Linked DNA regions of Arabidopsis thaliana. The protein of the gene in region 1 interacts with the protein of each later gene in a biochemical or structural test. Each region holds a gene or a part of one and is shown in the gene's direction. Other genes may lie near its edges.

Region 1 (3,756 bases):
ATCAAAACTAATCAACGTTATTGACCGCTATATAGTATATATCTCTCAAATTTCGTCACTTGATATTATTTCTTCTATTCTACTAAGAACCAACTAGGTAATACTATCACAAGATTTCTTGCACTTGAAAATCGAATCGGGAGAGAAAGGTATTTTAGATTAATTTCCATGACATTCTGTTATCTTAAACACTATTGATCATGTTAACATAAAAACAATTTTGGTCTTCTTTTTAGGTAACTGATGATTTTTAGTGTTACGTTAATTATGATTCTCTGACGTACGTTATATTATCTTTGGTCCTCTAACGTATAAGCGTTACATATTTTTTCTTTTCTTTTTCCAACTATACTTTAACCAGAAACCTACTCCAATCCAATCAAGACTTCAAGAGGGTATGTGTCTACGAAAGAAATTTCAAAAGAAATAAGTATATTAGTATAGAAAACGCTAAAGTGAAAGTATCTGAAACGTTTACTGAAGAAAAATTCGAATCTTTGGTTTCCAATATTGTGATGAATCTTTTAATCATAGGTTTTGAAAACTAGTTTGGAATTTGTCAAAATATACTGGTTATAGAAAAAACGTTGAAGTATACAATATTGCTTTTATCTTCCCATACGTAACTTCTGTTTCCGGGATCATAATGAAAATTATGAAGAAAAAAAAATCATGAGTATCCTAAACGTGCATAAGCTAAATGAATTCCGCAATATGATTTTTACAATTAAACTTTTGTTATTTTTTTCAATTAGCTTTGTTTGGGTAAAAAGTAACTAAGTAAGTATTAATGTTTATTTTCATTATAAAAACAGTAACTCAGAGATTTGAACATACAGTTTCGTCGGTTTTGGGGCATAAAACACAAATAAAAAGAAGCTTGGTTTTGATCTTACTTCGGTAAATGTATTTATGGATGATACCTCAAATCGATCCACGTTATATAGAATGAGCCAAACGAGTATCTTATTAACCAAATTTGTTTTTTTTTTCTCATATCAGCAAACGGCATTATTACGATTTACGAGTGTTGATTTTATTAACCAAACCGAACCAAACAAACTTAATTTCATCCAACACGAACCCAACTCAGCACAGACCGTTCGCTTTTAAGCTTTTGTTCAATCCAAACCGAATCAATATTCTAACCTGTTCATTTAGACAACTAATTAAATAAATATGATAATCTCTAATTAGTAAGTTAGTGAGAAAGAAGAAGTTAGTATTGATACTTTAGTATCATTTTTTTTTATTGTTATTATAAATATTAAATTTAGTACCACTAACCCTGAAAAAATTCATGAGATTTCTATTTCTGAATAATTTAGTTTTTACATCTTCTTATCACTCGCAAATTTCTAATCGAATTCTTACCGTAACACCTAAACCGAATATAACCGAAATAAATATAAAGTCCACCTCAAATCAGCACTATATATCAAACCAAAATTGTATCAAATCTATAATACACTAAAGAAACAACAATGATTGAACTAATTAACATTTCTCGACACTGAAGAAACTAAAAAATCGAATAAAGCAGAATTACTCTACCGGGTTAAACCCGGTCTGGATTATCATTCACCCGACCCGGTTCTAAACCCGTTTTAAAAGTAACGCGCTCGGGAATATCAGTACATGGGCCCAAATTACTATGCTGATACATTCAGTTAATGATAACGTTACCGTCACAGTAAAGCTAAACAACTTCGATTCGATTAAAAAAAAACTCGCCGCTTATAAACGGCGTCTGCCCAAAAAAGTAGGAAACTCAGAAGTAAAAAAAAACCAAAATCGCACCTCCATGACCACCGTCTCCTCCGCTTTCGCCACCGTAGCGGAAGGCGCGAAGGTTGTCACACCGAGATGGAAGAAGAATGAAAGAAATGGAAAGTTACGGGTGATGTGTAGGTATGGCGGTAGTATAGTTTCACCTCCGCAGACGAAATCGCCGCGTTATGTAGGCGGAGATACTCGAATCGTCGCCATTCCTTCTTCCGCGGAAACGAGCTTCGCTTCTCTTGTTAGCCACCTTACGGTTACGCTCAAAATCTCTTATCCTTTCAAAGTTAAATATCAGCTTCCTGATCAGGAACTAGATTCGCTTATCTCCGTCGAGGCGGATGAGGATGTTCAGATCATGATGGAAGAACACGGTTATCTCTCCTCCGAGTCCTCGATTCCCCAATCGCGTATCCGATTGTTTCTTTTCCCATTGAAATCACAACAATCGAATGAAGCTGGTGCGAGTCAGGGAGATTCGGATCAGTGTAAAGTGGAGACCGATATCGATTGGCTTGGAATCGAAGAGTCTAATAAGCCTATTCGTGAAGAATTGACTCAGCCGGTACTTCAGCACCCTAAGACGGAGATGTGGTTCGTAGACGCTTTGAAGAGCGTGGAGATGATGCAGACTAGACGAACTAATAGCGGAACTAGCGGAAGTGGAGATGGTAACGGCGGGATTTGTGGACAGGAGTCGATGATGCTAGAGACTAATTCATCCTTTGGCTCGACATCATCCTCGGTTTCGTCGAGCAATTTACCTCCGATAAAAAGCTCCGGCGAGGACAACATAGCGAACTCGCAAGTCAAATTTGCGCCAATAGAATCAGTGACAAGGTATTCTTCTATGCTCTTAACTGTTTGATTTCACCATTTGATTGCTTTATCGAATAGTTTTAGGTGTAAGCGTTCTAAAACTTATGTACACAATTTGTTGTCTAGGAAATGCAATGTGCTATGAGTTTTTGAATTGTTTAGCCAGTGACACAAATGAATTTGGTAGTGTTGCAGAACGAGTTTAAATGTGGTAATATATAAGCTATCTCTTGAAGTAATGATTGGAAACAGAAACTGAATTCTTGGAATGATCCTGTAGTCGAATTAGGTTCTCGTCTTCATGTATATGATCTGTGAATGAGTTCATAGGCTTAGGCAATCAGGAGTTTGTCTCGTTTGCCATTGTGTTATGGTAATTCTCAATTCGGATCAATGTGCTCCGAGTCTCGGGGATATGTTGTTCCTCATTTGGTATTCAGCTACGAATGTAATCTTCGAATTATATGTATTGGTAGAGAAGGTGCCAATCCTCTAAACCTTGTTTAGTTGGAAAGCCTTTTTGTAACTGTTAACCATTTTTCCTTTTGTTCTTACTCTACGAACAGCAACGACAATTCTGCAGTCACCCCAATACCTTCCCACGAGCTACCATCACACTCACATGCTTTTGAGAACAAACCGTCTTCAAACTTGTATGTGGCTGAGCTAAACAGACCAGTTCCAGTCCCAATTTCCGGGTATCCACCATTTATGAACCAAGCTCAACAACAACATATCCAAGTCATTTACACTGGACAACCTTACATTACCGGAAACTCACCTATGACATTGCCTGCCACAGCATACCATCACACAAACCACGTCTATTATCAGCGTCCGCCACAACCATACCCAATCTATTACATTCCAGTCGAGCAGTACAGTTCGAGGCACGTTCAAGCACTGCCTGTGAAACCGAGCACCGTTTTAAACTATCACCAAGTTGATTCCCCGGTGGTCCGCACCAGCAGCCCTCTAGCGCCAGAGTTTTCCTCACAGGTTTATCCTCTATCCAAACCCGTTGATTCATCGGTACAGACATCAAGTGAAGCTACTCTTAATACTACTTCAAGAGATGCTTTCATCTATAATACCGATGTCGATGACGACAACGATATAGCTCATGCTCAAATTTACAAATCTCAGCCTCCAGCT
Region 2 (3,756 bases), on another chromosome or scaffold:
CTATATTCTCAATTGGCAGGGAGACTTACGAAGGAAGATGATGAGGTGAGATAATAGTATTGGAATAGTTTTTACATTTCCAAGCTCTTCATTTCTTCGAATTAGCTTTAACCCTTTTTCTTTCTATCTGTCTATAGTATAAAATATTGGCTGCTCTGCATCCAACTCCAGCTGTTTGTGGGCTTCCAGCAGAAGAAGCAAGGCTTTTGATTAAGGAGATAGGTAAAATATCTACCTTGGTTCAACTATCTTCTAGTAACTATAGATGTAGAGATTAAGAATTATGCTGACTCAAACATTTTGCTTCTTCTAGAATCATTCGATAGAGGAATGTATGCGGGACCTATTGGATTTTTTGGTGGCGAGGAGAGTGAATTTGCAGTCGGGATCAGATCAGCTCTAGTCGAAAAGGTGAGCTTATTTGATCTCTTTCTCCCTTTAAAAAACACACTTTAACACTAATTGTTATAGCAAAATCGATCATTACGGTTTTTGCTACAACTTGTAAAAAAATGCTGAACTGTATTTTGATTTACAGGGTCTTGGGGCATTGATCTATGCGGGGACAGGGATAGTAGCTGGAAGTGACCCATCTTCAGAGTGGAATGAGCTTGATCTTAAGATATCTCAGGTACGAGCTTTTGTCCAGAAAATGTTTAGTGACATCATGGTTCTCTGTTACCAAAATCCTAATTTTTATTCTCTCTTTTGTTGTTGTTTTTGCAGTTCACCAAGTCAATTGAATATGAAGCAACAACATCTCTACAGGCGATTAATTGAAGAAAGAGTAACATTTGTATTTGATTGTTTTGTTTGTATGGGGGATAAGGGGTTCTCACAATAAGAAAGCAATGTTGTCTCTCTTGTAAATTAAAAAAGAAATGCTTTAATTTGTTAATGGGCCGAGCCTTTTCGGGTTGTAACTAGGGCAGGCCTATCATGAATGTTCATAGGCCTAGCTGTTATGATTGTTAATGAGCTTCTATAGTGTTTTTCTTCAAAGACAGATATATTCAATATGGATCTAAAACTGAACTGAATTTAACTGACATGACAATCGAATCAAATTGAATTTATTTTTTCAATTTTCATTTAGCAAGAAGTGACCCATCTTCAGAGTGAAGTAATCTATGCTTATTATCTCGATTAAGCAAAAATCCGTAGAATGCTTGGGCCTTTCAACGATGATGTAGCCGTGTAGGACAGGTTTACGGAATCTGCTTTTATGCAAATGGTAAATATTAATATTCCTTTATAAGTTAGCGTTTCAGATCATCTTCTTTCGTTAGATTAAGAAACTACTTTGTTATTATATAACTATAAATACCATCCAACAACCTTACTCGCCATATCTTTTCATGTGTGGTGGTTTATAGGAACATTGAAAAGTACCATATTATAAAATGAAGAATCAACACGTCAACAAAAACACAAATAAAATGAGATAGTACAATTAAAAAAATGGAGCGCATGTAAAAAGTGAAGAATCAAACGAAGGCTTGGCGATAGAGAATGGAATCAGATTTCCCATTATCCCCACTCTAACACCATATATTCCTTTCCCTTTTTACCCTCCACCTCAATTAGGTTTATTAATCATATTTAACACTCTAATTAACCAACCCATTTCATCTCTTTTATTTTACTAATCACAATGCTTTGGCCTCATTACGTTTTACCTAGATTTACTTTGTCACAAACTACACAAATATGAACCTAATTATCTACACTCGTGTCAGAAACAGTTTTAGCTAATATTTAGTAAGTTTTAATTAAAACTAATGAAATGAATAAATAGTGTATAGTACATAGGATTTGTTTTTAGTTTATTAATGGAAATTAAGATTTCATTAGTACTAAAAACATGTAAATAAAATAAAGCTTTAAAGAGGAATATATTCAAATAAAAAAAGCAAGACCTCGAAAAAAAAACTTTCTATTATCTCTCTTCCGCGATTACCGTAATCTCTGTCACAAACAACAAAACCTTCTCTCTCTCACTATCTTAATGAGAGAAGAAGACATTCTCGAGAAATGAGAAGACTACCACTACGATGAACACGACGCCGTTTCACTCGGATCCTCCGCCGTCGAGGATCCAGCGTAAGCTCGTTGTCGAAGTTGTTGAAGCTCGTAATATTCTCCCTAAAGATGGTCAAGGAAGCTCTAGCGCTTACGTCGTTGTCGATTTCGATGCTCAGAAGAAACGAACCTCCACTAAGTTCCGTGACCTAAACCCTATTTGGAACGAGATGCTTGATTTCGCCGTCTCCGATCCCAAAAACATGGATTACGACGAGCTCGATATCGAGGTTTATAACGATAAAAGATTTGGTAACGGAGGTGGCCGGAAGAATCATTTTCTCGGTAGGGTTAAGATCTATGGAAGCCAGTTCTCGCGAAGAGGTGAAGAAGGTCTTGTGTATTTCCCTTTGGAGAAGAAGAGTGTGTTCAGCTGGATTCGCGGCGAGATTGGACTCAAAATCTACTATTACGACGAAGCCGCCGACGAAGACACGGCGGGTGGAGGTGGAGGACAGCAACAACAACAGCAACAGCAACAATTTCATCCGCCGCAACAAGAAGCCGATGAACAACAACACCAGCAACAATTTCATCCTCCGCCGCAGCAGATGATGAATATACCACCGGAGAAACCTAATGTAGTTGTGGTTGAAGAAGGTAGGGTTTTCGAATCGGCTCAGAGTCAGCGCTATACAGAGACACATCAGCAACCTCCGGTGGTTATTGTTGAAGAATCACCACCGCAGCATGTAATGCAAGGTCCAAATGATAACCATCCTCACCGAAATGATAACCATCCTCAACGGCCACCGTCTCCGCCGCCACCTCCATCGGCTGGGGAAGTACATTATTATCCACCGGAAGTGAGGAAGATGCAAGTAGGAAGACCTCCCGGCGGAGATAGAATTAGGGTTACGAAGAGACCACCGAATGGAGATTATTCACCTAGGGTTATCAATAGCAAAACTGGAGGAGGAGAGACGACGATGGAGAAGAAGACTCATCATCCTTACAATCTTGTTGAGCCAATGCAGTATCTCTTCGTTCGGATTGTGAAGGCGCGTGGCTTACCACCTAACGAGAGCGCGTATGTTAAGGTACGGACGTCGAACCATTTCGTCAGGTCTAAACCGGCCGTTAACCGGCCCGGCGAATCGGTTGATTCACCGGAGTGGAATCAGGTTTTTGCTCTTGGTCATAACCGGTCTGATTCCGCTGTAACTGGTGCGACTCTTGAGATCTCTGCTTGGGATGCTTCGTCGGAGAGTTTTCTCGGAGGAGTTTGTTTTGATCTCTCTGAGGTTCCGGTTCGTGACCCGCCGGATAGTCCGCTTGCTCCTCAGTGGTATCGGCTCGAAGGCTCCGGCGCGGATCAGAACTCTGGGAGAATTTCCGGTGACATTCAGCTCTCTGTTTGGATTGGTACTCAGGTAGATGAGGCATTTCCGGAGGCTTGGAGCTCTGATGCTCCGCATGTAGCTCACACGCGTTCTAAGGTGTATCAATCGCCGAAACTTTGGTACTTGAGAGTGACGGTTCTTGAGGCACAGGATTTACACATAGCTCCTAATCTCCCGCCGTTGACTGCGCCTGAGATTCGTGTGAAAGCTCAATTAGGGTTTCAGTCGGCGCGTACAAGAAGAGGCTCAATGAATAACCACAGTGGTTCGTTTCATTGGCATGAGGATATGATCTTTGTTGCTGGAGAGCCGTTGGAAGATTGCTTGGTTC

What was found.
Region 2: the proteins of AT5G16220 (region 1) and QKY form a complex in vitro, tested with the Arabidopsis thaliana proteins (one study listed by BioGRID).

The regions. Positions count from the first base shown.
Region 1 is NC_003076.8:5,298,628-5,302,383, reverse strand, and holds the start of AT5G16220 (Octicosapeptide/Phox/Bem1p family protein), read left to right. Parts: upstream 1-1,741; 5' UTR 1,742-1,804; coding exon 1,805-2,622; intron 2,623-3,167; coding exon 3,168-3,756. UniProt on the Arabidopsis thaliana protein: Collaboratively with SUB and QKY, regulates cell growth anisotropy during gynoecium development, thus linking together cell-cell communication and cellular growth.
Region 2 is NC_003070.9:28,073,119-28,076,874, forward strand, and holds the start of QKY (C2 calcium/lipid-binding plant phosphoribosyltransferase family protein), read left to right. Parts: upstream 1-1,808; 5' UTR 1,809-2,054; coding exon 2,055-3,756. Other genes in the region: EDS16 (ADC synthase superfamily protein), read left to right, coding at 1-45, 138-222, 314-411, 539-844. UniProt on the Arabidopsis thaliana protein: May be involved in Ca 2(+)-dependent signaling and membrane trafficking. Plays a role in fruit dehiscence. Components of the machinery involved in organ development mediated by the receptor-like kinase STRUBBELIG (SUB).